4 linked regions of the Arabidopsis thaliana genome follow. The protein of the gene in region 1 purifies or fractionates together with the protein of each later gene. This does not show direct contact. Each region holds a gene or a part of one and is shown in the gene's direction. Other genes may lie near its edges.

Evidence for each region.
Region 2: the proteins of AT1G36280 (region 1) and PGDH fractionate together in Arabidopsis thaliana (co-fractionation; one large-scale study listed by BioGRID). This does not show direct contact.
Region 3: the proteins of AT1G36280 (region 1) and EDA9 fractionate together in Arabidopsis thaliana (co-fractionation; one large-scale study listed by BioGRID). This does not show direct contact.
Region 4: the proteins of AT1G36280 (region 1) and AT5G15400 fractionate together in Arabidopsis thaliana (co-fractionation; one large-scale study listed by BioGRID). This does not show direct contact.

What each region holds. Positions count from the first base shown.
Region 1 is NC_003070.9:13,637,990-13,644,282, forward strand, and holds AT1G36280 (L-Aspartase-like family protein), read left to right. Parts: upstream 1-2,518; 5' UTR 2,519-2,610; coding exon 2,611-2,769; intron 2,770-2,846; coding exon 2,847-2,999; intron 3,000-3,091; coding exon 3,092-3,307; intron 3,308-3,385; coding exon 3,386-3,568; intron 3,569-3,646; coding exon 3,647-3,868; intron 3,869-3,945; coding exon 3,946-4,062; intron 4,063-4,142; coding exon 4,143-4,286; intron 4,287-4,370; coding exon 4,371-4,472; intron 4,473-4,544; coding exon 4,545-4,613; intron 4,614-4,700; coding exon 4,701-4,919; 3' UTR 4,920-5,133; downstream 5,134-6,293.
Region 2 is NC_003070.9:6,099,426-6,107,044, forward strand, and holds PGDH (D-3-phosphoglycerate dehydrogenase), read left to right. Parts: upstream 1-1,589; 5' UTR 1,590-1,731; coding exon 1,732-2,354; coding exon of another isoform or gene 2,355-2,370; exon of another isoform or gene 2,371-2,558; intron 2,559-3,650; exon of another isoform or gene 3,651-3,905; coding exon 3,906-3,993; exon of another isoform or gene 3,994-4,207; coding exon of another isoform or gene 4,208-4,218; coding exon 4,219-4,695; intron 4,696-4,786; coding exon 4,787-5,554; 3' UTR 5,555-5,816; downstream 5,817-7,619. Other genes in the region: VPS46.1 (vacuolar protein sorting 46.1), read left to right, coding at 1-109, 442-728; AT1G17744 (uncharacterized protein), read right to left, coding at 1,930-2,370; PEPR2 (PEP1 receptor 2), read left to right, coding at 7,231-7,619. UniProt on the Arabidopsis thaliana protein: Involved in the plastidial phosphorylated pathway of serine biosynthesis (PPSB).
Region 3 is NC_003075.7:16,373,231-16,379,608, reverse strand, and holds EDA9 (D-3-phosphoglycerate dehydrogenase), read left to right. Parts: upstream 1-2,942; 5' UTR 2,943-3,047; coding exon 3,048-3,603; intron 3,604-3,874; coding exon 3,875-4,362; intron 4,363-4,452; coding exon 4,453-4,548; intron 4,549-4,896; coding exon 4,897-5,568; 3' UTR 5,569-5,878; downstream 5,879-6,378. Other genes in the region: SK11 (SKP1-like 11), read right to left, coding at 148-606; SEP1 (stress enhanced protein 1), read left to right, coding at 6,098-6,143, 6,245-6,355. UniProt on the Arabidopsis thaliana protein: Involved in the plastidial phosphorylated pathway of serine biosynthesis (PPSB). Required for mature pollen development.
Region 4 is NC_003076.8:4,996,399-5,005,646, reverse strand, and holds AT5G15400 (U-box domain-containing protein), read left to right. Parts: upstream 1-2,393; 5' UTR 2,394-2,739; coding exon 2,740-3,599; intron 3,600-4,070; coding exon 4,071-4,275; intron 4,276-4,416; coding exon 4,417-4,568; intron 4,569-4,655; coding exon 4,656-4,929; intron 4,930-5,202; coding exon 5,203-5,355; intron 5,356-5,454; coding exon 5,455-5,658; intron 5,659-5,739; coding exon 5,740-5,852; intron 5,853-5,962; coding exon 5,963-6,080; intron 6,081-6,235; coding exon 6,236-6,325; intron 6,326-6,405; coding exon 6,406-6,609; intron 6,610-6,688; coding exon 6,689-6,784; intron 6,785-6,867; coding exon 6,868-6,990; intron 6,991-7,072; coding exon 7,073-7,165; intron 7,166-7,249; coding exon 7,250-7,414; intron 7,415-7,519; coding exon 7,520-7,609; intron 7,610-7,706; coding exon 7,707-7,883; 3' UTR 7,884-8,158; downstream 8,159-9,248. Other genes in the region: DND1 (Cyclic nucleotide-regulated ion channel family protein), read left to right, coding at 129-344, 531-850, 948-1,059, 1,152-1,388, 1,475-1,561, 1,678-2,187; AT5G15390 (tRNA/rRNA methyltransferase (SpoU) family protein), read right to left, coding at 8,392-8,526, 8,614-8,752, 8,826-8,887, 8,981-9,119. UniProt on the Arabidopsis thaliana protein: Ubiquitin-protein ligase that may function as an E3 ligase in conjunction with specific E1 and E2 ligases. May also function as an E4 ligase mediating the assembly of polyubiquitin chain assembly on substrates monoubiquitinated by another E3 ubiquitin ligase.

The sequences.
Region 1 (6,293 bases):
ATACAATTTATGGTATTTTGAATTTCAATTTATGGTAGAAGGAATATTATTTGTTAAATGGAATATAATCTGTTAAGAGGAAGATATGGCGATAGGAATAAATATTTTATATATTCGTTAAGATTTTGAAGATTTTGGATTAAAGGAAACTATTAAGATTATCATAGAAAAATATGGTATATACCCGTTTGATTATGTATTTATCTGTGTGTTTAATAGATGGATATTGTTGTTAATTGACTTTGCTAACCTTAATGATGTGAAACGAATTTAACGTTGAATTGATTTTTCTAACGGCATTGACATGTAATTAAGAGGATTTTTATTCCTCTTAAAAAGTGACTAACCTGATTTTTAATGTTTTTCTTTATTCACTTTATTTCTTTTAACCTACTTCAACTCTTCTAAATATCTATTAACTTAACATATATTAATTCATCTTTATGTAGCTTTCTTTATAAATAATGATTGTGCTGATTTGATGATAAAAAAAATTTGAACTCTTTAGAAACATGTATTTGAGATCATATCTAATTGGAGCCCAAAAAACATAAAATTATGAAAATTTGGTGAGAGCGTTAATTAAAAATGAAGAAAAAAAAATTAAGTCTTAGTTATATTATTATTTTGTTTTCAATGATTTTTTTAGTTTATTTATTTATTTATTTAAAAAAGTCCTAATATCAACTTTGCCTTAACCCCCGATAAGTTTAGACACGACACTAGTTCTTGGCGAAACAATGGAATCATTCTCTAGCTCTTCTCTTGTGAGGACGTCGTCAGTTTTATGTATGTAGTTGGCTGAAGCTGTTTCGACGAGTGTCCGCATGTAAAGAGTTATTGATCTTATTTGACTTATCTCTAGTTGATTTTCAAGTTTTTTGCCTTCTTCCTAATGTTTTGTTGCTTTCTTCGTATTGGCTTGTGAGGTATGATAGTGGTTGTATTTGTGTCTCTAGTATTGATGGTTACTTGCTTTCCTCTTTATCGGTTTTGCTATTTTTTGGTTTGACGTCGGTGTGAGGTCTCCATGGTCTTATTGGTGCTTCCGACGTTCACAGGTTCTATAGGAAAGCTTGGCGAGATCTATCGTTCCTTTGTTCAATTTTAGCGCTTAGGTTTCAATGTTTTCCTATGTGGTTCAGTGGTTCTCTCTTTTCTTACATTGGTTTCTGTTTGTATATTAAGGGCTTGATTGGTTCTCCCTCTGCCACCCGCAAACGCTGCGTTTGCGGGTGGTAGCGGTTATTAGCGGTTGGCACCAATCATAGAAACCGCTAGATACCGCTTTGGACCGCTCGAAATCGCCAGATTTCAAAAGCTCATTCCCGCAAGCGTTTGCGGGTGCGGGCGGTAGCGGTTAAGTTAAAAAAAAAAAAATTAATTCATTAAAATAATTATATCTTCCACCCAAACCCTATACTTATTCTTATCAGAAAACCCTAATCAATATATTGAAACCCTATTCTCTCAATTATGGCATCCACCCAAACTGACGAAAATCAAAGTCAAAATTAAGAATCAAACGTAAGTATGATCTATCCTTTCATCCATTCATTAGCTAGTGTAATTCTCGGAATATTTCATGGCATCGTTTTTTTTTTTTTGGTTTTTTTTGTGTTTTTTGATTGAATACATGTTTTGATTTGTTTTCTCGATTAGAAAATCATTTGGTCAGACGAGACCACATTTGCGTTACTTCAAAGACTTTGATTTCTAAGTGATGTTCAAAAAGAAAATATTCTTAAGAATATTAACGTTTGGAAAAATTTTGAGTTGGAGATGTGTTAAAAATCGTTTGGATATCTTGAAGAAACTTTATCATATGTATAGAGGCAATCTAGAAAACCCGTGAGGTCAACGTTATTTACAGTTTATCACACTACTTGATGCAATTTTTGGTGATTTACCAAATGCATAAAGTATTAAGTTTTTTCTTACAAAATCTATTTATTTTTGAATTTTCAGTTTTATTTATGGTTTTAATTATTAAGCATGTTTAATTTTTCAAATATTATCAATTTATCATAATAATATATTGTATTTTTTCTTTTAATAGTAATATATTATATTTATTTTGGTTATTTTTTATTTAATTATTATCGCACCCGCTGGTTTACCAGTCATAAAACTCCCGCAACCGCACCCATTACCAAACGCTCAACCAGTCGTTCAAAACACTTGATAACGCTTGAAACCGCAACCGCCCGTTTCCGTAAACTCCCGCAACCGTAACCGTACCCGCTGTATTTAAACCAGTCTGGCCCTAAGGCTAGTGTACGTTAGTTTCTCCAAATTTGTTTGGGCAAAACTTCCCTCTTCCGTCTGCCGGCATATGTAATTTTAACTTATATCCTTTCTTTGGTTCTTAATAAAATTCAGATGACAAAAAAAAAAATCGCAAACAAATATAACTTAATTCAAATCAAGAACAAAACGATAACCAAACTAAATTAGAAATGATTTTAATTTCTGTATAACCGATAAAATAAATAGCAGAACCAAACCAAACCAAACCGCGAACCGATCTCGCACTCATATTGCTCTCTTTCTTCTTCTCTATATGCTCTGTTTTCGAGTAAATTGCCATAAACCCTAAATCACACAAAAATGGAGCTCAATTTATCTTCGATGGCCACCAAAATCCCTTGTTCCGGCCTTATACCCATAAGAAGTCTTTTAAACCCATCAAAATCTCTGTCTCATCTTCCAAGAGTTTCATTCTCTGTTTCTTCTCCTCATTCTCTCAAGCTAATGACTTCAACAAAGGTAAAGCCTTTCTCTAGTTTCAAGCCTATTTACTTTGTGGGTTTTTGTATGTAATCTGATAAATGAATATACTTTAGTTGATAGCAATGGCTAGTGCAAGTTCCAGAGACTTTGAGATGTCGAATTTAACAGCATTATCGCCTTTGGATGGACGTTATTGGGGAAAAGTTAAGGACTTGGCTTCTTCTATGAGCGAGTTTGGATTGATCTATTTCCGAGTACTTGTCGAGGTATTGGGTTATGTTCTGATTCATTGATTGATTAGGAAGATTGGTTTTGTTTGAGTAGTTAGCTAAAGTCTTCAACTTTGTACTTTTGTTAGATCAAATGGCTTATTAAGCTTTCAAATATACCTCAAGTCACTGAAGTTCCAAGCTTTAGCAAAGAAGCTCATAAGTACTTGCAAGGTATAATCGATGGATTTAGTATGGATGATGCATTGCAAGTTAAGAAGATTGAGAGAGTGACAAATCACGATGTGAAAGCAGTGGAGTATTTTTTGAAACAAAAGTGTGAATCACATCCAGAGATTGCTAAGGTTAGAAACCGTTTCTTACTCTTCTTAGGGTTTGGATGCTTTGATTGATGATGCATTGACTAAATGTCTCGTCTTTAGGTTCTAGAGTTTTTCCATTTCGCTTGTACGTCTGAGGACATCAACAATCTTTCCCATGCTTTGATGCTTCAAGAAGCACTTAGTTCGGTTATACTTCCTACCATGGATGAGTTGATCAAGTCTATCTCTCTGATGGCTAAGAGCTTTGCATATGTACCTATGCTTTCACGAACTCATGGGCAGGTAATGTCCAAAGAGAAGTATTATTTTTCAGTTCTATCTATCTCTTTGTTAAAGCAATGGTCATGATTTATAATGCAGCCAGCTTCACCTACAACATTGGGGAAGGAAATGGCGATTTTTGCTGTGAGGTTAAGTGTAGAAAGGAGATATCTTTCAGAAACTAAGATTAAGGGGAAATTTGCGGGTGCTGTTGGAAACTACAACGCGCATATTTCCGCGTATTCTAATATTGACTGGCCTCATGTTGCAGAGGAGTTTGTTACTTCTCTTGGATTAACATTTAACCCATACGTGACTCAGGTATATATATAGTTTCTCTTGATCAAATTTTTCCTGGTGGAATGATTTGTAAAGTTCCTCACTGGTGGTTTTTGCAGATTGAACCACATGACTATATGGCTAGACTTTTTAATACAATTAGCCAATTCAACAATGTCTTGATTGATTTTGACAGAGATATATGGAGCTACATATCTCTAGGTTACTTTAAGCAGGCAAGTATTAACAAAAATATGTCCGAGTCATTTGAAAAGGAATGGGAAAATCTGTCTCATTGTTTGAAATTTTGATGCAGATAACTAAAGCGGGTGAAATCGGATCATCGACAATGCCTCACAAAGTGAATCCTATTGACTTTGAGAACAGCGAAGGGAATCTAGGTAAAGCAAATGCAGAGCTTGCTTTTCTCAGCATGAAGCTTCCCATTTCACGAATGCAGGTTTGAGCATACTCCACTAGATCTTGCTAACAGTAATGGTGTAGAAGTAAGTAAGCCTGAAAATTTAAATGTACATATCTGCAGCGTGATTTAACAGATTCAACTGTCTTGAGAAACATGGGTGGAGCTTTAGGACACTCTCTTCTGGCTTACAAGAGCGCGATACAGGGAATTGGGAAGCTTCAGGTATTATTATTTCCGTTGCCCTAAGAAAGAAAGGTCTTCACTTGTCATAGACTAAGGATGTTCTTGATATAGGTTAATGAAGCTCGGTTAAAAGACGATTTGGATCATACTTGGGAAGTCCTCGCTGAACCGATACAAACTGTAAATTTCTCGAAACTTTCTAGTCTTATTATAATGATCAAGTTATTATTCCATGTACATTGGTAACTGAAGGAATAAAAAAAACAGGTGATGAGGAGATATGGTGTTCCAGAGCCGTATGAGAAGCTGAAGGAGCTAACAAGAGGAAGAGCTGTGAATGAAGAAAGCATTAGAAAGTTTATTAAAAGTTTGGAATTGCCTGAAGAAGCAAAAGACCAACTTTTGAAGCTAACTCCACACACATATGTTGGCGCTGCTGCTGCATTGGCACTAGCCGTGGATGATGCTGTGCACTTGGGACATTAATAATATGATCATATTGGTGTAGATGATTCTGCTTGTTGTATTATGATTTTCTTTTCCCAAATCCAATGGGAAAACAAGAATCAGTTTATTGATCGTTGTGTTATGTTTCTTTTTTGAGTTTCAATTAATCTAGAGCCTCGTTTTGATCTTAAGCGTCATGAATTATATAAGTTGTGTGTGGTCAATGATTCTCAAACCAATAAAAAATTATGGTTATTAAACAGACCAATAGATTGAAACCTGATCCAAGGGCCATCTTGCTTCCATCTCAACATGTCTTTTTAGTCGAAAAATACTTTTTCGGCCAAATGATGGTGAGTTTGTTTTTTCTTTTTGCTTGGAAATGATGAATATTCCTGAAATATCTATCTTTTAACATTCGAGCTACTAAAGATTTTAGATATTGTATCAATCGTCAATACTGTTTAGCCACATCATTGAACTCTCTAGGGAATGAAATCACAAACCTCCTTCTTTATCCATACACATTTTCTCTCATGCTATCCAATGAATCCTACAATCTCTTCCATTAGAACTCCACCAGTAATTCAAAATTGCACTCATTGACTTACTTGATCATTGTCTCTTTCCCATATTTTGACAGATACTTAGCTGACTAACCATTAACCCGTTCATTAAATCTTCCCAAAATAGTTAACAATTTTACTTTTTGAACCCTTTAAACTCTCTAGTATACTTAATAGGTACCCATTCCACATTCCTTAGTAATTCCAAGGAAATTTTTAAGTTCTTCTTTTTTTTCTTTTTTTTGCAACACGCTTACCAAACAAGGCCGATGATTAATTGAAATTTATTTCTTGTCCTAAAGCTTTACAATAATTTATAACAACACCCATCACCGTTTTACATTCCTCCGCATCTGTTTTACAATACTATCATCCGCAAAAAGCAAATGTGGAATAGAAGGATTTCGTTTAGCTAGTTTAATGCCGGTTAGCATCTTCTCTCGCTCCGCTTTCTTAATATTAGAAATCAGAACCTCCATACATAAAATAAACAAATAAAGGGAAAGAGAATCATCTTATCGTAAACCTCTGTTGGAAATTATATTTCCTCTTGCTTTCCCGTTAGAACTTGATACGAGACCAAACTAACACTCCAAATGATCCAAGAGATCTAATTAGAACTGATTCCCAACGAGTCATAACTACCTTTAAAATTCCCATTCTATCCTATCATACGCTTTGCTCATATTCGTTTTTATTGCCAAAAAGTTCGTTTTACACAATATATTCCTCTGTAGTCCATGAAATATTTCTTGTGCTAGCATAATGTTATCTATAATAAGTCTACCTGAAACAAATGTCGACTGTGTTTCAGAGACTAGCCGAAGTAAATATTTTTAAGCCTCAA
Region 2 (7,619 bases), 7.5 Mb from region 1:
TCTCGATTGGACGCTGTTGTTGCTCGACTCGATACCCAGGCTAAGATGGCTACCATCACCAAATCGATGACCAACATTGTCAAATCCCTCGAATCGTCTCTTACCACTGGTATTTCACATTCTCACTTTTCAGCAATCTAATCAATTTGGTTTTGTTGGTGCTCATAGCATTATAGTATAGATTGAAAAATTCTGCTCCTTGTTGTTGTTTTTGCTGATTGAAGGATATGGAATCATGCATTAGGGTTTGGTTTGATGAAATATTAGAATAGCTCTCTCTCACCGTCATGGATGTTCTGTGATCTGTGATGAATTTTTGTTGCATTTCTCTCCTTTTGGTAAGTGTAGTATAGAGGGAGAAGAAGATAGGGCTTATAATACTCTTATACGTTGTGCTGTAGCAACTCGTGTTATCATTTTCTGGTTTGTTCTTTGCAACAGGCAACTTACAGAAGATGTCTGAGACGATGGATTCGTTTGAGAAACAGTTTGTGAACATGGAAGTCCAAGCTGAGTTCATGGATAATGCAATGGCTGGCTCTACTTCATTGTCGACTCCAGAAGGAGAAGTCAACAGCTTGATGCAGCAAGTAGCAGATGATTACGGTCTTGAAGTTTCTGTTGGACTACCTCAGCCTGCTGGTCATGCCATTCCTACCAAGACTGAAGAGAAAGTTGAGGAGGATGATTTAACCAGGAGACTTGCCGAGCTTAAAGCCAGAGGTTAATTAGCTAACCTAACAAAAAAAAAAACTGTATTTGGATTCTTCTTTTATTGAGATGTTGATGCTATTAATCCCTGAACATGATGGGAATGTTTGTGTAAATTGCTCACCCTGGTACATGCTTTTGTTTATATAAAACCTAGAGTGTGTTTTTACAATGAGAAATTTCATCATCTGCTTAATGGTTTGGATTAGTTGTACAAATGTTAATTCTCCAGATGTGTCTCTGGTAGTAGTTCCACCAAATTTTCCAGGTCCAGAAAGGAATACACTGGAGTAAAAGGTATATTCTTTCCAAGGAGAAGAATGTTTATAGTACTCTTGGTGGATTGTTGCAGTTGTCAACTTGGGAGAGAGGATGATATGGTGAAGTCTCCTCCCTCTCTCCCATGTCTTGTTCATTGCAAAGTCTTGTTCTTTCATGTTTCTTTTCATATACACTTGTTAATGAATAAAGTTGAAAAAATTCGTGAGGAAAAGTCCGAATCTATCTTCTCTGCAAAAATAAAATTAAGTAAAAGAAACATAAAGTTATGGTTTAAAGATGCTTTCGGAAACTCCATCATTTTAGTGGGAGAATCACATAAAAGATTGGTCGTCAATTATTTTTCTTTTATTAATAAGGATGCACATGATGATGAATATTAACCGTAATATACTAATATAGATGACAATGTATTTCAGTGCTAAATTATAGTAACAATTAATTGAATGCTTAAATGAATCTTTTATTATATACTACTTTATATGTGTTTTTTTTGTTTTAATTGAGACAATGATGATGCACCTAGACAAGAACGTCCTACTCTCTGTGCATGTGCTTCTCATTTTATTTACTCTTTTACCAAACAAACTGTTCAACTTAATACATAATGTTGGTAGCCCACAATGTGAAAGATTAAATTAAAACTCATCCATTACCTCCTGTAAGCTCTATATTAACCACTTTAGCTCTTCTGCACACACTCACAACAACCAATCATATTTATTATTAAAAAAAAGAGTCATGGCATTTTCATCTTCGTGTTCGTCCGTCAAAGCCGTCAACTCACGGTGGACGTCTCCGTCTCCGTCACCGTCTTCTAGATTCGCCGTCCTCCCTGCTTTCCTTCACCGCCGTTACGCAACAAGCGTCAAACTAACGGCCATAAGCGCCGCCTTAAAAACCGTCGAGCAAACGACGTTAACAGAGGATAACAGATTCTCAACCGTCGGATCTGACTCTGATGAATACAATCCAACTCTTCCAAAGCCGAGGATCCTCGTCACCGAGAAACTGGGAGAAGCCGGCGTGAATCTCCTCAGGGAATTCGGCGACGTTGACTGCTCTTACGATCTTTCGCCGGAAGATCTGAAGAAGAAAGTGGCGGAGAGTGACGCTCTGATCGTGAGAAGCGGAACTAAAGTGACGAGGGAAGTGTTTGAGGCGGCGAAGGGGAGGTTGAAAGTGGTCGGAAGAGCCGGAGTTGGGATTGACAATGTTGATCTGCAGGCGGCGACGGAGCACGGGTGTTTGGTGGTTAATGCTCCAACGGCTAATACGGTGGCTGCTGCCGAACATGGAATTGCTTTGCTTGCTTCTATGGCACGTAACGTTGCTCAGGCCGACGCTTCTATTAAAGCCGGTACGTTCCCGGTTAGCCATTTTTTTTTTGTTTTATTGAAATGAGACATTTAACCAATTAACCTATCTAGATTAACTTAAAGCTTATACTATGTTTCACACCATGGAAAAGAAAAAACTAATCTAACATGTTTTAGTCTCGCAAAGATTACGAGATCTGATGAAGTCCAAATTATCTTGATTACAAAAAAGAAGAATTGATTATCATTGATTAATCGATAGATATTGAATATTTCGTTTTGTTCATATATTGAGAAGAGTTAATGGTCCATTTGAATAATTCCAGTATAGTGGCGTTACTCGTAAGTGTTTCTTCGTAATAATTGCTCAGTTGATCTTTGGAGTTATGCATTATAGCATAGAAGTGGCAATTTGTCATTGGATAGTAGAAAAGTCATGATTAGAAGCAAAAATAAAATTGGTTTACGTAAGTAGAACAAAAGGGGAAAATCATATTTGATCCTCTCCCTGTAAGATGGAAAAAACAAACGAACCTGTCAAATGTAAAATAATGGGTCCATTTACTGCAAAAAGTAAAAGTCGGGGCCCTGAATTTTGGGGCCGCCAGTAACCTCATTTTACTTTTCTCCGAGTCTCTCACCAACCACAGTACAGAAATTAAATTATTGGAGTCTCTTTGTCTATTATTGCAAACTTCTTGTTTTGTTTTGTATCAATCAACTAAGATTTAATCCGCTGTTTACCGCAGACAATCGGTTTATTTGATTTTTATATTAAATATTTGAATAAATTTGATATTTACATTTTATAAATATAAATTTTTGAATCAAACATTACTAAATTATAATTGGAGGAATATATTAAAATGTGTTTAAAATGTGTATTAATTAGTTATGTATATGTAATTTTAGTAAAAGTAAAGTATTTACAAAAATATAAGATTCACAAAATTATTCATAAAATCTGTTTTTTTAGCCGGTTTAGATATCAATTTATAACTACAATACTAATTTTGATTGTAGGTTTAGATTGAATCGAATCATATAAAGTTTAGGAGATTGTTAAGACCATATTACCTTTAATGATTTTGAACAACAAAAAACAAAATCCAAAATTAAAATCAAAATTGTAACTAATTAGACAAAATTTCAATTTGTACTTTCCAAAAAAGGACAAAAAAAGGGATTGAATCATCTTATTTGGAATTTATTACAAACCCATGCATCGGTAACTGAAGAAATAATTCGATTACCTGATATATTCTCTCTTTAAAGTTTCAATCTCACGCGTCACAACCCATCAGTTCCACCCATTTTGGAATTTGTTTTTTTTTTTTTTTTCCATTTTGGAATTTTGTCATGGCAAATATCATTTTCTCGAGTCTTTGTTGTCTTTTTTTCTTTTTAAAAACTTTATATTCGTTAATAGTTTATTACAATTTTTAAATTACCTTAATTATTGATTCGGCGTATATAGTGCAACTTGATTAGCAGAAGAATATGGGATTCTTTTTACAATATACAAATTTGTAGATATTTTAGTACACAATATACAAGTGGGTCATTAAAAAATAATCATGCATCATAATTGATAAGACTCAATTATTTGTTTCTGGTACTACTGTTAAGGTGGAATTGTCGTCAGTCAAAGCATCAATATACGATCGAGACAGAAACTGAGAAAGTGTAGACATTACAATACCATTATCTCTTCTAAGTCTTAATCACTTTCACTTAAAAATCACTTTTGTAAAATTTGAGTTATTCTTCTTCTTCTGTAATCTAGTAAAAAAAAAAATTCTAAAAAATAAAATCAATTTGAGTTGAACTGAGATGACTCCTCCATCAAGTAATACCGAGGCGGTTTCTGAAATTTGGACATTTGGATATTTTTACAGGAAAATGGGAGAGGAGCAAGTACGTCGGTGTATCTCTCGTCGGAAAAACCTTGGCCGTGATGGGTTTCGGGAAAGTTGGGACGGAGGTGGCGAGAAGAGCCAAAGGTCTAGGCATGACCGTTATCTCCCACGACCCTTACGCGCCAGCTGACAGAGCCAGAGCTCTCGGTGTCGATCTTGTTTCATTCGATCAAGCTATCTCCACCGCCGATTTCGTCTCCCTGCACATGCCTTTAACTCCGGCCACCAAAAAGGTCTTCAACGACGAAACTTTCTCTAAGATGAAGAAAGGTGTGCGTCTCATTAATGTCGCTAGAGGTGGCGTCATCGACGAGGATGCACTCGTTAGAGCTCTCGATGCCGGAATCGTTGCTCAGGCAGCATTAGATGTGTTCTGTGAGGAACCACCATCGAAAGATAGCAGACTAATTCAGCATGAAAATGTTACTGTGACACCTCATCTTGGAGCTAGCACAAAAGAAGCTCAGGTATCATCACTCTCTTGATCTTGTTTATGTTACTTGTTTCATCTCTCTACACTTCTTTTCGAGTTTATATAATTCCAATGTGATATTTTAGGAAGGTGTAGCCATTGAGATAGCAGAGGCTGTAGCAGGGGCATTGAAAGGAGAGTTATCAGCTACTGCCGTCAATGCTCCAATGGTGGCTCCTGAGGTCTTGTCTGAGTTGACTCCTTATATTGTCTTAGCTGAGAAGCTTGGGAGGTTAGCTGTGCAGTTAGCATCTGGAGGTAAAGGAGTACAGTCCATTAGGGTGGTCTATCGGTCAGCTCGTGACCGAGATGATTTGGATACTAGACTACTTCGTGCAATGATCACAAAGGGAATCATTGAACCGATCTCAGATTCATATGTCAACTTGGTGAATGCTGATTTCATAGCTAAACAAAAGGGTCTTCGTATTAGTGAGGAACGAATGGTTGTTGATTCATCACCAGAGTACCCTGTTGATTCCATCCAAGTTCAGATTTTGAATGTGGAGTCAAATTTCGCTGGTGCTGTCTCTGATGCTGGTGATATAAGTATTGAAGGGAAGGTGAAGTACGGAGTTCCGCATTTAACTTGTGTCGGATCATTTGGTGTGGATGTGAGCCTTGAAGGGAATCTGATACTGTGCAGGCAAGTGGATCAACCAGGGATGATTGGACAGGTTGGTAACATACTTGGAGAACAAAACGTGAATGTGAATTTCATGAGTGTTGGAAGAACAGTGTTGAGGAAACAAGCGATAATGGCGATTGGAGTTGATGAAGAACCAGACAACAAAACACTTGAGAGGATTGGGGGTGTTTCTGCGATTGAAGAGTTTGTGTTTCTTAAACTATAAAGTTTGAGATGGAGTTGCATTGTGGTGTATGGAGAATAAAACTGTGACCCGGATTAAGGTGTTTTATCCAGTGGTTGTTAAGCTGTAGAGAATCTGTGGTGTTGCGAGCGAGTGTGTGTATCTTGGTATTATTACATTGTTCTTGTTTTGCTTTCTTATGGTATGTAATGCCTTTGGTTAATGTCATGTTTCTCTTGTAAAATGCTTTTGCTTATATTTTACGATGAACCGTTGGACTTGAAAACAAAATTCCTCCATCACTACTCAATGGATTCGCATTTGGGTCTTTGGGGGTTTTAGTCTTAGGATGTAGGTGGCCTTGTGATCTTGTGACAAAATGCAATCTGCAAACCTCATTGGAATCTAATGTGAAAACCCTTTGAAGTTAAATTCAAATTTCAACATCATGTAAAGGAAATATACCAAAGAAGTGGAACATATATAAAACTTAAAGAAAAGTGATAGAAGACAGAACAAGGACCACCACTCTCTAAATCCTTATGGTGAAAATCACATTTTCTTTGTCAACTATGAAAATTTATGAACTACAGTATAATTATAGGGTTTGGTGATGGAGACATATATAGAAGTTGTTATTAAATTCGTTTGGGACCTGCAAAAGTGACGACCAACCAACTTAAAATCGAAATGGACAGTATGATATTTCCAAAATAAACGTGTTAAAATGTTACAAACGAATATTGTATACATTAAAGAAAGTATGATTCTTCGTTGGGACTTTTTTGACTTCTCAATACCATGAGACGACCAAACCAAATTGAATTCAGTTAAGGAATTAGATAGATTATAATATGTAATGGTGCACGTCGAATGATTGAGTTATGTTGGTGGAATGAATATAGAATATCAATTTAAAGATGATCATTGAGTCTAATTAAGTTGAGAATGCGTGTTATCTTATTTTAGTAAGAGTAATAGCATCCTCCCAAAATGATGACATTTTGTAATAATGAGAGAAATAAACATAATAATTCCATAAAAGAGAGATATACAAGTGGTTTAAGACTTTTAAATAGACTGATGAGTGCTCCACTATCTTAATATTGTTAACAGGGAAGATCAAAATTAATCTCTCAATCAGTTTTGACATTATGTTTTTAATAAACCATTTTTGTTTTATGTGAATATGGTTTTGTTAATAAAGTACTAGTTAAAATTCTAGTGTAGACGACAGATACCAGAGATCTTGATTAAATTCCAATATATAATGTTTATGAAAGATTTAAATCTAACAAAGTAACAGTAGGATGAAATGTCAATAGAAAATTAGCGTCCAAAGAAGCTTTCTCTTGAATAAGCTAAGAAAACAAAACGTGGAAAATGGAATATTTAAAACCACGAAACAGTCTCCGAGTAGTAATGGAAATAGCGAGAAAGAAACACGAAACAGCGTTGAAGGTCGCCAATTCGTAAAGTTAGGTTCACAATCTCTGACGAAGAGTTAACCAAAAAGCGCGCTCTTTTTCTCTCTCACCAAACTCATCGATCGTTTCTTAAATAATGCAATCTGTTCCTGTCACTAAATCCAGATACCCTTTCAAATCCAAAAGCTCTCTCTTTTTTTTTTCCGCCTCTCATTCTGGGTTCAAGGGTTGTTGAGTGAGGTTACTACGTACGAGTGTTTCATATTTCAGTCTCTTGAGCTCTAATCTCAAATGAGGAATCTTGGGTTACTCGAAATTACTCTGCTTTGCTCTCTCTTTGTCTATTTCCGTATAGATTCTGTCTCTAGTTTAAACTCAGATGGTTTGGCTTTACTCTCGCTTCTCAAGCACTTTGATAAAGTCCCACTTGAAGTAGCTTCGACGTGGAAGGAGAACACATCTGAAACCACTCCATGTAATAATAACTGGTTTGGTGTCATTTGTGATCTTTCTGGTAATGTCGTCGAGACCCTTAATTTGTCTGCTTCTGGGCTTTCAGGCCAATTAGGTTCTGAAATTGGGGAGCTTAAGAGCTTGGTCACATTGGATCTCAGTCTTAACAGTTTCTCTGGTTTATTGCCTTCCACTTTAGGAAACTGTACTTCACTTGAGTATTTGGA
Region 3 (6,378 bases), on another chromosome or scaffold:
TGGTTCAAGTTTTTTTCTCATAAAAAGAAACACAAATCATAATAAAGATGTAGACAAAGTTATCATAATCGATCAAGACGTTAAAAAGAAAACACTAAAAAACGAAAAAAAGAAAAAGAAAGCTAGTTAGGGTTTTGATTCATGGGCTCATTCAAAAGCCCATTGATTCTCCTTACGAACAGCTTCTTCTTCCTCAGGTGTAAAATCATTCTCAATGTTGAAAGTTGAACGAATCTCCTCTGGAGTCTTGCCTTTGATCATGTCCGCAACAGTTTGGCATGTGAGATCAAGCAAGCTTTTTATGTTGAGGTAATTCGCAGCAAGGATGAGTTCAAAGATGGTGGATTGTTCGAGATCCATGAACTTCTCGTCCCAGTTGTTGAGATCCTCTTCAGAGATAGGATTAGCCTCGTCGACGTGGTGTTTCTTGCAGTACTCGATCACTTTCACAAGAATCTTGCTTTCCACGTTTGCAAGAGGGATTCCATCAGCAACGCAATCGTCTTCAACCATATGCGCTATGGTCTGCGATTGGATTGCTACCGCTTCTTCCACCTCAAACGACTGACCATCGGAGCTCATCAACACGATCATCTTCGAAGACATTGTGTGTTCCTTGTGGAGGAGGTTTTTCACTGTGAAGCAAATTTGATGAAAGATTTAAGAATTTAGAGAGCGAACAAATTGTGTTAAGGTGATGAAGTTGTGAAACCCTATGCGTCTTTGTATTTATAAGCCCTAGCTAGAGTCGGTGACAACAACATATTATAATTCAACGCGTGGTACACTACGGACAAATATTTTATTTATATATATAATAATTTTAAATTTTATAATTTTATATTTAGTAATAAAGTTATATAATTTTATATTAATCTTGTAATTAAAAAAATTAGTGATGATAAAATAATAAAATAAATATTTTACCTGTGTTATATCAATCCAAACCCGTCTCGATGTATTTCCTATCAATCCAAACCCGTTCTGCTATACTTCCCGTCTCATGATATTTTAATTTTTTATGTTTAAATATTAATAATGTTTCATAAAGGTAAAATATATCACTAATATTCTTTAAAAATAATAATTGTTTTTGACTTTAATGTGATGACATTCTTTGTAAATTCTTACTTTACTAACACAAAAGTACTTTAAAAAGTACTTCAAAAATTTTAATATATATAATGTTATTTTTTGGTAAAAATTATTATAAATAAATATTTAATTTAATCATAATTTGGGATTGATATACTTGTGTTTTTAACTAACTATTTTTTATTTTAATAACCTAAATTTAGGCATTTGTTAATATTTTTTGAATCTGCAATATCAACTTAATACATGTACAATTTATTTTTGCCAAAAAAGAGCAAAATTATTTAGTACAATTGAAACGAAAAATGTTGATTGAGAAATAATTAGGGTTTCAAATTTTATTACGCAATTATTTTTTTAATGAAAATATTAAAGCATATATTGTAATATAAGATTTGATTCATTTTATTAACTGAAAATAAATGATGTAAAACGAAAAATCAGGGTGATTAATGCTAATTGGAAAGATTTAAATGTTTTTTTTTTTTTTAATTTCATAAATTTTAGTAACATAATAGATTTTATATTTATATTTAAAAATAAGTTTAGTAAAATAATAAATGTCAATGGCATGCCATAGTAAATAAGTGCTAAGTGAAGATTTATTTGTTAAAGTGGCTGCAAAAATGTATATATAGATAGTTATTGTTTCTAAAAAAAAAAGCAATTAAAAAAATAACGAAATACTTATTTTCCTTAACTGAAAGAAATAAGTAATTTTATGTTGCTGGGCCTTTATATGAGTTTTATTATGCTGTTGTAACTTTACCATGGTTGGGTTAAAATGAAAGAATGAAAAAAAAAAAAAAAAAGTAAATTAATTGTCGACTCATTTTTCATAAAAGGTAATTTCAGTTGAGTAAACCAAAATAAACCAAAAGATATACGAAGATTCAACAGTACACCCATCCACGCGCGGCTGCGTTGAATACTATACGGGGGGTGTCAACAGGTCGACCTACCAAAAACAATGCATCTAAGCAGTTGCAAAGACACACTAAGCAAATCTTTCACGTGCAATAAATTATACTTACGTCACAGCCATCAGTATATCCTTTCAAATATTCCTCCTCACAATTGATGTATTTACATGTGTGTAAGTTGACACAAACAAATCACTTGCCCTGAAAACTAAAACTCTCGAGTTTTTTCAAAAAGAAAGTCCAATTCAATTTAAATTTGAAGTCTTCAATTTGTTTTCAAATACTAAAAAGTGCGGCTCTCCCTCTAGTGTATGGCCTCGTTTACTAGTAGTGCGGGGACCTTTTAATCTTTTATTACTACTTGTTGCATTCAAGCATGAAGCATGGACAGACACTCCCTTAGAAAGAAAAACAAAATTATGAAATTTCCTGCTTCATTTTGAAATTTCTGCGGAAACTTATGATTTGGATATATTATAAACATAGTAACTCCTCTACATTAAAAAAAAACATTACAAGTCTTCTTTTCATTTGGGACATAAATGTTAAAATCTTTTATAGATACTGTATTTAAGTCAATGATCTGATTATCTGACAGACATCGTGAGACTCCTCATGCCATCAAAATAAGGCTTCTTCAAGATCTCTATTTGCATTGTCAAAAATCTTCAAAGCTGTAAATAATTTTCGAGTAATCTTTTGTTCTCGGTCAGAGAGATATGTAATAAATAAAGTTTACTTTTCCTCAAAGTTGTACATTTTTTTTTATTTTTTGTTGGTTTGGCAATTTTTCCGGTAAACTATGCAAATTCTATTCGCCGAAACATTTTGCAGATCACTAAACCAAACTGAATCACACGCGCGAGCCAAATGCGCGTGAGATTTCATCACCTTCGTCAAAATACTATCACATCACACCAAACCCCTGAGCCGACTATAAAACCTTTTAGATCTCTCCCTCGTGTTATAACTCCGCCACCAACAATATTTTTCTCTACTCAATTCACTCACACTCCAAAAGCGGTAGCAATGTCAGCCACCGCCGCCGCCTCCTCCTCGATCGCCGTTGCCACCAACTCTCTCAGGAACGTGACTCTGTCTTCCAGATCGCCCCTTCCATCAGCCATCTCCGTGGCTTTCCCTTCCCGTGGACGCAATACTCTTCAGCGACGCCTCGTTCTCGTTTCCTGCAGTACTGGAGACGGATCTAAGCCTACGATTCTCGTGGCGGAGAAGCTCGGTGACGCTGGTATTAAGCTTTTGGAGGATGTCGCGAATGTCGACTGTTCGTATAACATGACTCCTGAGGAGCTCAACATTAAGATCTCGCTCTGTGACGCCTTGATCGTGAGGAGTGGGACTAAGGTTGGCCGTGAGGTGTTCGAATCGTCTCACGGACGGCTCAAGGTTGTTGGTCGCGCTGGTGTTGGGATCGACAACGTGGATCTGAGTGCAGCGACGGAGTTTGGGTGTTTGGTTGTCAACGCTCCGACGGCGAACACGATCGCTGCCGCTGAGCACGGAATCGCTCTTATGGCCGCCATGGCTAGGAACGTAGCTCAAGCTGATGCGTCTGTTAAGGCTGGTTAGTTCCTTTTTGATTCATTGCCTCAATTTCATACTTTCCATATGTTGCGAAATATTTATTGATTATGTTCTTTCTATACCTGTGATTGATGGCTTGTTGTGTTTATTAATTTGTATCATGAGCTTTCCTTTTCCTGTACTGTTGTTGACGATGGTGAAATTTAGGATCGTTACATTTGCTGATTCTTTTGAAATTGAGTTTTGATCATTCTTGTCTGTTATCTAGCTGACTTGTGGATCTTGGTTTTAATAATACCATTGTAATGCAGGAGAGTGGAAGAGGAACAAGTATGTAGGTGTTTCACTTGTGGGAAAGACCCTTGCAGTGTTGGGATTCGGGAAAGTTGGGACGGAAGTTGCTCGTCGTGCTAAGGGTCTTGGTATGCGTGTCATTGCTCATGATCCCTATGCCCCAGCAGACCGTGCACACGCCATTGGTGTTGACTTAGTGAGCTTTGATGAAGCCCTTGCCACCGCGGATTTCATTTCTCTTCATATGCCTCTTACGCCAACAACATCGAAGATACTAAACGACGAAACCTTTGCCAAAATGAAGAAGGGAGTTCGAATTGTTAATGTTGCTCGTGGAGGTGTCATAGACGAAGATGCGTTAGTGAGAGCTCTGGATGCTGGTATTGTTGCGCAGGCTGCACTTGATGTTTTCACCAAAGAGCCTCCGGCTAAAGATAGCAAGCTCGTGCAGCACGAGAGGGTCACTGTGACACCTCATCTTGGAGCTAGTACCATGGAGGCTCAGGTGTGCAATTCATTTTACAGTTCAGGTGATAATTAATCATGAAATTTCTGTTTGGCTTCTGTTATATAGTTGGTGTTTTGGCTTTGACAGGAAGGAGTTGCCATCGAAATTGCTGAAGCTGTTGTTGGAGCTCTGAATGGAGAGCTTGCTGCTACTGCAGTCAATGCACCTATGGTTTCTGCTGAGGTGAGCACTCGCTTGTGCTAGTAAATACACACATATTGGTGTTGTTTCAAAGAGGCAAACTTATCAGCCTATTTACTGTAGCTAGCCTGGGAATGAATGTAGCAAATTATATTTGTTCCGAGTTGGTTAGAAAGAAGTTAGTGAGCGGCAAAATTGTTGAAGTGAGGGTGGGTTTTCTAGGGATTTGTTTTAAGAGCCTCATTAATCAAGTTTCTGTGATTTCTGAATTGGATTTTAGACTAGCAAGGTTTATAGCTTTGTTCTTATCAGATTCAAGTTGGAAGATTTCAATTGTTAAGACTATCCATGTTTGTTATTTGCTCAAGCTTACATGCATTCTATCTGCAGGTTCTGACCGAGCTGAAACCATATGTGGTGCTAGCCGAGAAACTAGGAAGACTGGCAGTGCAACTGGTGGCCGGAGGAAGCGGTGTGAAAAACGCGAAAATCACATACGCCTCAGCAAGAGCCACTGATGATCTTGACACCAGACTTCTCCGAGCCATGATCACCAAGGGAATCATCGAGCCAATCTCTGACGTATATGTCAATTTGGTCAACGCTGATTTCACAGCCAAGCAGAGAGGTCTCAGACTCTCAGAGGAACGTGTGCTTTTGGATGGTTCACCAGAGAGCCCATTGGAGACAATAACTGTTCAGCTAAGCAATGTGGAGTCCAAATTCGCCAGTTCCCTGTCTGAATCAGGAGAGGTTAAAGTGGAAGGAAAGGTTAAAGACGGAGTCCCGCATTTGACAAAGGTTGGATCTTTTGAGGTCGATGTAACTCTTGAAGGTAGTATCATACTGTGCAGGCAGGTGGATCAACCTGGTATGATCGGGACTGTCGGAAGCATCCTTGGAGAGTCTAATGTCAATGTTAACTTCATGAGCGTTGGGAGAATTGCACCGAGGAAGCAAGCGATTATGGCGATTGGAGTAGATGACATACCAAGCAAAGAGACACTGAAGAAGATTGGGGAAATTCCAGCGGTTGAGGAGTTCGTTTTCCTCAAGCTCTAGTTTGGTGTGTTGTTGATTCTTGAATCTTAAATCTCACCGGTGAAGATTTGATGTTGTTTGTTGGTTTAGGCAATAATGTTATTTTGGCTTTCATACAGTTTTGGTAACGTTGAGAGTAGTGTCTCTTTGATGTTTCAACTTTATGGTTTCTATTACTTGAGTGCTTCTTTCTTCTCTGAATATTTATTTCCTGAATATTAGTGACCACAAATTGGTTTATAACCCAATTGAACGAACCGATGTAACTATCGTAGAGAATCTGTTAATTAAGCCAATCCAATTTTTCAAAATTGGTTTGGTTTGGTTCAGATTAGGTTCGGTTTGCTCTAAGAGATGCAGTTGTTTGTGAAACGCCACCGTTTTGGAAAACTGTGTAGCTCGAAAAGATACGAACTTAATGAGTGGAGAGAAAACACGTGTCCTCAGCTTGAACAGATAATTCTGCGACTCTTGAGAAAGGAAGACGAAGGAAGGAGAATAGTAGAAGAAGAAGAAAGGGAGAGTCTTGTGATATCTACGTAGAAGGAAGATGGCCTTATCTCAAGTGTCTGCGTCTCTCGCCTTTTCTCTTCCCAGTACTCTTTCTTTCTCTCTTCGCTACCCTTCTTCTTCCTCTAGTTGTACAATTGTCTCTATAATGTATGTATCTGACTAGTTTCGGATTTCATGTTTCCAGATTCTGGTGCCCTAAAGCTAGCCACAATCACAAACCCAACTTCTACATGTCGGGTTCATGTTCCGCAACTTGCTGGAATCCGATCCACCTTCGCTTCTGGTTCTCCTCTCTGTACGTCTTCCTTGCCCCTGAGA
Region 4 (9,248 bases), on another chromosome or scaffold:
GAAATTAACCCTAAACTTTTTATTACTATCAATAAAGCCCATATTTACATTTGAAAGTGTTACCTGTTGATGAATCATGATTTGAGATGCAGATAAGATGTGAACTTTGTGTTTTTGCTTGTTTGCAGGCAGTGTTTTGGTTAGTTGTGCCGAAACTGATAAGAGAAGAGAAGGTTAAGCTGATAATGACGATTCTGCTGCTAATATTCTTGTTCCAGTTCCTCCCCAAGATTTATCACTGCATCTGTTTGATGAGAAGGATGCAGAAGGTCACTGGTTACATTTTTGGAACTATTTGGTGGGGTTTTGCTCTTAATCTCATCGCATATTTCATCGCTTCTCATGTAAGTCCTCTCAAGCTAGATATTGTATTTCTGCCTGAATATAATGTCCTGCAACAATAGGTTATATTCAGGTCCTAAAACAAATGCAATATAACAAATCCCATGTGTATATATATAGTACTACTAAGGTCTGTCCTAAGATATGAAATTAAAGTTTGTTGTTTATGGAAATTCTGGTGGTTTCAGGTTGCTGGGGGATGTTGGTATGTTCTCGCAATACAGCGTGTTGCTTCTTGCATAAGACAACAATGTATGAGAACCGGGAACTGCAATCTGAGTCTGGCTTGCAAAGAAGAGGTCTGTTACCAATTTGTGTCACCGACAAGCACAGTTGGATATCCATGCTTATCTGGAAACCTTACCAGTGTGGTCAATAAGCCTATGTGCTTAGACTCTAACGGACCATTCCGATATGGTATCTACCGTTGGGCACTTCCAGTCATCTCCAGCAACTCTCTTGCGGTTAAGATCCTTTACCCCATCTTCTGGGGCCTAATGACTCTCAGGTAATTGCTTTGTTTCTGAGCTTAAGGTTTACATCTTGGATATAAAAAAATTCTCTGATTGACATACTGAATCTGTTTTGGGGGTCGCGTTTTACAGCACATTTGCGAATGATCTTGAGCCCACAAGCAACTGGCTCGAGGTTATTTTCAGTATAGTTATGGTTCTAAGTGGCTTGTTACTTTTCACGCTGTTGATAGGAAACATTCAGGTAAACTATGCAAGAATATGTCTTTTCTATGATATTGTGTTTTCATGGAATGTAAGATTTTAAAAAGCTTTTTACTTTACAATATTTTGAAGGTGTTTTTGCATGCGGTAATGGCGAAAAAAAGGAAAATGCAGATACGGTGTAGGGATATGGAATGGTGGATGAAACGTAGGCAGTTACCTTCCCGGTTAAGACAGAGGGTTAGGCGATTTGAGCGGCAGAGATGGAATGCCTTGGGTGGTGAAGACGAGCTAGAACTTATACATGATTTGCCTCCGGGTCTTCGAAGAGATATCAAACGATATCTTTGCTTTGATCTCATTAACAAGGTACTAGGAAGCAGACTTTATACAATCTTGTTAAGACTTGTGAAAGCAGTAAGTGTTAAGTCTCTGACATGTTTGATCTTTCTCAGGTGCCATTGTTCAGGGGCATGGACGACTTGATCCTCGACAACATTTGCGATCGGGCTAAGCCTCGAGTCTTCTCTAAAGACGAAAAGGTACTCATCCCATCATTTCTAAAAATTTATATTTCCAATATTTTGCTTCGGTTTCGGTTTAAGAGTTTACTTGAAGAGTAAAATCTGAGGTTCTTCGATTTTGTTGATTGTCACAGATCATCCGTGAAGGAGATCCTGTACAGAGAATGATATTCATCATGCGTGGACGAGTCAAACGTATACAGAGCCTAAGCAAAGGCGTCCTAGCCACTAGTACACTAGAACCAGGCGGTTACTTGGGCGACGAGCTACTCTCATGGTGCCTACGTCGCCCGTTTCTGGACCGTCTTCCCCCTTCCTCAGCAACATTTGTCTGCCTAGAAAACATCGAGGCATTCTCCCTCGGATCCGAAGATCTTAGGTACATTACCGATCATTTCCGTTATAAATTCGCGAACGAGCGGCTTAAGCGGACCGCAAGATACTATTCCTCAAACTGGAGGACGTGGGCAGCGGTAAATATTCAGATGGCGTGGCGCCGGCGTAGGAAAAGAACCCGTGGTGAAAACATCGGCGGTTCGATGAGTCCTGTGTCGGAGAATAGCATTGAAGGTAACAGTGAACGCCGGTTACTTCAGTATGCAGCTATGTTCATGTCCATTCGACCGCATGATCATCTCGAATAATAATAAAAAGTTCCAATTTTATATCGGTCCAAATAATTGTGTGTTCATTGTTCCTCCTCAATTGTTTACCTTTACTTCTTTAAAAAATCTTTCTTGGAATGATACTTCAACCTCTTACGGTTAAGTTCAAAGTAGATTTTTTGAGCAACAAAATCTTGGAGGAGTTTATCTTGGTAATTTTTTATTTTTTATTTTTTATTAGCAGTAAAAGTAATTGTCTTAATAAGTATAAACGACGTCGTTAGTAAGTACGACGTTTGCATATATCCTATATAGACTTTTTGTCCAAGCTCAGGACTTGCTAAAGCTCGTTCAGAGACTCCAAAAGAGTTCATAAACAAAAACCTACTCCCAGAAAGTTCTTCCAAATCTCTCGCCATGGTTTCTCTCTTCTTTCGTGAATTTTAGTTTTTCTAAATTTAATTATACTTTAAATTGCTAAGTCCAAACTCTTTCGCTTTTGATTCATCGGTAATACAAGTTTAAGAAAAAAAATTCTTATATTTATCTCTCAAATCGAGTTTCGAGTGTTTGATTTGATTCGTAAAATCAATGGCGACGAGCAAACCTCAAAGATCGCCGGCTGAAATTGAGGATATAATCCTCCGGAAGATATTTTATGTAACCCTAACGGAATCAACTGATTCCGATCCTCGTATTGTTTACTTGGAGATGACGGCCGCTGAGATTCTCAGCGAAGGTAAAGAGCTTTTGCTTTCTCGTGATTTGATGGAGAGAGTTCTCATAGATCGTCTCTCCGGCGACTTTTCCGACGCCGAACCGCCTTTCCCGTATTTAATCGGTTGCCACCGTCGTGCTTACGACGAATCGAAGAAAATCCAGTCGATGAAGGATAAGAATCTGAGATCGGAGATGGAGATTGTCACTAAACAAGCGAAGAAGCTTGCTGTTTCTTACTGTAGGATTCACTTGGGGAATCCTGACATGTTTGGGAACTCGGATAAACCTAGTGGTGGATTGGATAATAGGTTGAAGAAGAGGAATGTCTCTCCGGTTCTTCCGTTGATCTTTGCTGAGGTTGGTTCTGGTTCGTTGGATATGTTTGGAGCTAGTAGCAGTGGGGTTCAAGCTCCTCCTGGGTTTTTGGATGAGTTTTTCAAAGACTCGGATTTTGATAGCTTGGACTCGATTCTAAAGGAGCTGTATGAGGATTTGAGGTCTACGGTTATAAATGTATCAGTGCTTGGAGATTTCCAGCCACCACTGAGGGCACTCAAGTATCTTGTTAGCTTACCAGTAGGAGCTAAATCTCTGGTTAGTCATGAGTGGTGGGTTCCACGGGGTGCCTATATGAACGGCCGAGCAATGGAGTTGACTAGCATTCTTGGGCCTTTCTTCCATATTAGTGCGCTGCCAGATAATACACTATTCAAGAGTCAACCTGATGTTGGGTGAGTTCCAACTTATTTATGGGTTTCTATTACTGAGAATCATGTAGTCTTTGGGGCTCTTTTCTTATTGAGAAAGTTTGGATAGTAAGAATTATTGATTAGCTTTTACTCATAGTAGAGAGACTTGATCAAAAAAGGAAAAAAGCAGATATATTTGGCTTATATATGATGCCACTGTTAGGTTGTATACATATTTTAAGCATGATTATATAAATTTAGCATAGTTAGATGATCAGTAGAGGCGAAACCAACAGAAATATTAGTAAGCACTATGTTAAGTTAGAATATTGTGGATGAAATCCATTATTTTGAGCATTTTTTCTGGTCTGTACTGAAGAATCTTGATTGTCCATTTAGTATTTGACAAGGCTTAATTGTGCGAACATAAGAGTTTTCCTGATCCACCTCAGAGGATATACTTTACCTGTTATGAAAATGCTGATATATGTCTATTGTTTTTGTGAATATCAGGCAGCAGTGTTTCTCTGAAGCATCGGAACGTCGTCCCGCAGATTTATTATCATCCTTCTCCACGATTAAAAATTTCATGAACATTTTGTACAGCGGGCTGCATGATGTATTGATGATTTTACTTAAAAGTACTGATACCCGTGAGCGTGTTCTACAGTTTCTTGCAGAGGTGATCAATGCAAATGCGTCTAGAGCCCATATACAGGTAATCATCCGTTTATAAGATGCATATATACTTCGGATCTTTATTCATGAATTGCTATTGTCTCCTCTCGGTTTTATCAAGTTGGTATTTGTCTTTTTTGCTCAAATCAGCATTCTGTAATATGTTTATCTTGTATGACAGGTTGATCCAGTCTCTTGTGCTAGCTCAGGCATGTTTGTTAACCTTAGTGCAGTAATGCTCCGGCTCTGTGAACCATTTTTAGACCCACATTTAACGAAAAGGGATAAGATTGATCCAAAATACGCATTCTGTGGCCATCGCTTAAAATTAAGGTATGGTCCTCAAGATGATTCTACTTGTATTTCCTCACTGATTTTAATAGTTTCATGATGAGCAATATTATTTATGATCCACACCAGCGACTTGACCGCTCTCCATGCATCATCCGAAGAAGTTACTGAGTGGATTGGCAAAGATGCTATGGCAAACGCAAATGATGCTGGGCGAGAAAATGGGAACGAAAGTCGCTTGTTACAATCCAAAGAAGCCACAAGTTCTAGTAGTAATGCTTCTGGGCAAAATGCAAAGTCAGCAACTAAATACACTTTCATTTGTGAATGCTTCTTTATGACTGCTAGGGTCCTCAATTTGGGTCTCCTAAAAGCACTCTCTGACTTTAAACATCTTGCTCAGGTAATCATCATCACAGTTTTCCCGTCCTGGAAATATTGAAGATTTTTTGGAAAAAAAAACGACTTGTGATAAATTATCTTGCAGAAAGCTCTTATTTGATTTGGTTCCTTACATATTGTCTTATTAAGGCGTTTGTTAGTTAAAACGAGAAGGGACTATAGCAAAAACTTGAACTTAGTCACATGTTTACATTGTGAAAGTGTCATTGATTCCTGAATTTGCAGAAGATTGTTATTGTATGGTTCTTCACTTTTTCTTTTCCGCATGACGTAGGACATCTCGAGAGGTGAAGATAATCTTGCAACGCTAAAAGCCATGAGAGATCAAGCACCTTCTCCACAGTTGGAACTTGATATATCCCGAATGGAAAAAGAACTAGAGCTGTCTTCGCAGGAAAAGCTTTGCCATGAGGCCCAAATATTGAGGGTTTGTAATCATATTCTCTGCTCTGATAACATCTTCGGCTTTTCCTCTGGACCGGTAACATGATAGTAATAGCTGCCTTATCTCTATACTGTATTGAAGGATGGAGATTTTATTCAGCGAGCTCTGTCTTTCTATCGCCTAATGGTTGTTTGGTTAGTTGGACTAGTCGGTGGCTTTAAGATGCCTCTACCGTCAACTTGCCCTATGGAATTCTCCTGTATGCCTGAGCATTTTGTTGAAGATGCAATGGAGTTGCTGATATTCGCTTCAAGAATTCCCAAAGCTTTGGACGGGGTGCCGCTGGTATGCTTAGTTTGCTCTCATCAGTCTGTAGAAATTCTCTTTTTGTATTTGCACTGATGATGGTTGTTCTCTTTTCTTAAGGACGACTTTATGAACTTCATAATTATGTTCATGGCAAGTCCTGAATATGTTAGAAACCCGTATCTCAGAGCAAAGATGGTTGAAGTTCTGAACTGCTGGATGCCTCGTTCAAGGTGTTTTTCTTCCCATGAAAGAAAGCTGTACATTTGTCAATTTGTGTTGCTAATGCAACAAGTTCTGCAGTAACGTGGTCCACCATTCTAATTTTTTTTTTTTCCTGCAGTAGTTCTTCTTCTGCTACATCTACTCTCTTTGAGGGACATCAGTTATCGCTCGAGTATCTTGTCAGGAATTTACTGAAACTATATGTTGACATTGAGTTCACGGGTTCACACACTCAGGTGATTGCAAGAGATTTTGTTTAGTGGCTATAATATTCCTGGAGTAATGAACTTCTCTCTATTGCATTGTACTTGAGAATATGTTAGCTCTGGAAGCCAGAATAGCCATTTGTTCTTGCTTTTATTGGAACTGAAATCTAGTTATCCAAATGCAGTTCTATGACAAGTTCAATATTCGCCACAACATTGCCGAGCTTTTAGAGTATCTCTGGCAGGTGCCTAGTCACCGAAATGCATGGAGACGGGTAAATTCTTAGTGAGCTTGCCATGACTTTGAACTTCAACTATCATGTTCCAATGTTTTTCCAAATTTGATGTGTTACAGATTGCAAAAGACGAAGAGAAGGGCGTGTACTTGAACTTCTTAAACTTCTTAGTCAATGATAGCATCTATCTTCTGGATGAAAGTCTAAACAAAATTCTCGAGATTAAACAAATCGAGGCAGACATGTCAAATACTGCAGAGTGGGAGCAGAGACCAACTCAAGAGAGACAGGAGAGAACAAGACTCTTCCATTCGCAGGAGAATGTTAGTTGGATTATCACTTCTTATATCTTGTTTCGTACTCGAATCCCGATCCCATAAAGAACTTTGATTTTCTTTGCAGATTGTTAGAATCGACATGAAGCTGGCAAATGAAGATGTGACTATGCTTGCATTTACATCCGAGGAGATCACTGCCCCTTTCCTACTCCCTGAGATGGTACCTGACCATATTCCTGAAATGATAACCTGCCCTATGATTACCCAACTGATGAGTTTCTTTGTTTGTTTGCACTTATTTAGGTTGAGAGGGTTGCCAACATGCTTAACTACTTCTTGCTACAACTCGTGGGTCCACAGCGTAAATCTTTAAGCCTGAAAGATCCTGAGAAATATGAATTCCGTCCAAAACAGTTACTTAAACAGGTTAGTAGTGATTACAATTACTCAATTCTCCTGATCAAAGTATGTGAGAAAAAACTGACTGATATGATTGTGAACTTTGAAGATCGTTCGCATATATGTTAATCTCGCAAGAGGAGACACAGTAAACATATTCCCTGGTGCCATCTCCAGTGATGGCCGATCATATAATGAACAGGTCAGATCCTTCTTTCTAAACCAAATCCTCTTTCATAATAATAGATGCGTCTCTACTGAACTAAACAAGTGCCCGTTTTTGCAGCTATTCAATGCAGGAGCAGATGTGCTTAGGAGAATAGGTGAAGAGGGAAGAATCATTCAAGAGTTTATGGAGTTAGGCACAAAAGCCAAAGCTGCTGCTTCTGAAGCTCTGGATGCTGAAGCTGCACTTGGGGAAATACCAGACGAGTTCCTTGACCCAATTCAGGTCTTTATCTGTTGAAAGAAACACTAATTTAAACCTAAATCTTGTCTTATTACCATGCACTAATGTCTGTTCTTGTTTTTTTCTTTTCCTTTTCTTTTTTGGCAGTACACGCTAATGAGAGATCCAGTAATACTTCCAAGCTCAAGAATCACAGTTGATCGTCCCATCATTCAACGTCATCTTCTCAGCGACAATGTAAGCTTATCTAACACAATGATGATCACTGATCAGTCACATCTCTCTTTCTCTGAAGATTTTGGCTTTGTATATGATCCTCTTACTTTTGCTGCAGCATGATCCATTTAACCGAGCACATTTGACATCGGATATGTTGATACCGGACATCGAGTTGAAGGCGAAAATCGATGAGTTTGTGAAGTCGCATCAGTCTAAGAAACGGACAAGTGGAGAAGATAGCAGCAACAAGGAAAGGATACAGACTACAAACAGTGATATGTTAATTGATTAATTATGTGTTCCAAAAGTAACAAAATAATAACAATTATTCAGGACTTTTTTTTTTTACTTTTGCTAGGCTTTCTTTTCTATTAGGATTTATCTATCTATTTTAGGGCTTGCTTTCCACTTATTTGATGCCACGGGAAAAAAACTTATAAATATCATGTCTAGAACTGTTTCTATCATAAGTTCGATGTGTTCACGAGTTTCTATGCATTTCGACGTTTGTTCATGGATTACTAGTTGGCATAAGAGTTATGAGTGACCAATTCTTGAAAGGCGAAATTTCTAACTTAATCTTTGATGGCGTGAGGTCGATGCAGAAGAATGGTGAAATCAACACCACTCACTCGATTGAAAAGGCAATACGTTCGACAGAAGGATGTCTTTTATAGAATTTAAGAGTTGTACATGAAGCAAGCGTCGTACCAAAAAAAGAGTTCGAAAGAGTTTTTATAGGCGTCATTCGAAGCCTATAACACGCAAAACAGCGAGAGAATAAGACAACGGTTTCAAAATTAGGAGGAGGTAGAGTGTTGTTGTTTACGTTTAGCGAACTCGTAAGCAATGCAAATTGAGCTTCTACTGTGACGAAGTGAGAACTCAGCCATCAATATCTCTTTCTCTGCTTCCGACAGATCTCCATGGCTTCCCTGTTTCAAACCCATAAAATGTAATTAAAGCATAAACTGAACTGGAAACTAACGTAAATGATTGTCTAGCTGTGTCAATAGGTTTACCAGACGAGTGGTTCTATCAGAGACTGCGTGGTGCATCAGAATCCCTGCAGCCACTGAGACATTAAACGAATCAACCATTCCATTCATCGGAATACTGCAACGCAGATCTGATAACTCCAACGCTTCGTCACTTATTCCCCTGCATATTCCCCAATCAATCCATTAAGAAATTATGAACCCTCAAATTTGGACTAAGAGATGATATTCATTACCTGCCCTCGTTTCCAACAACTATTGCTGTTGGGCATGACCAGTCCATATCGTAAATGGAAACCTATAAGATATTACCACCAAGAGAATGTCATTCATTTTGCCTCATAAATAATGGTGATGACAAATATATACAAACAAATCTTTAGAGGTTTACCGTGTCCATTCCCAAATGAGTTGTAGCTATTCTGTAACCGCGAGACTTCAAAACTTTGAAACATTCTTTAGGTGTGTCCCAAAACTCAATGTCCAGCCATTTCTCAGCTCCCATACTCACATGGCGATTTCCGTTATACCTACACATATATAATATACATTAACACACACATAGCACGGTAAATGAATTCACACAATGCAATCAAACCTTTTTTACATTTCAGTCAACAACTAATGGATCAATCTTTTCAGATATTACCTATGACTCT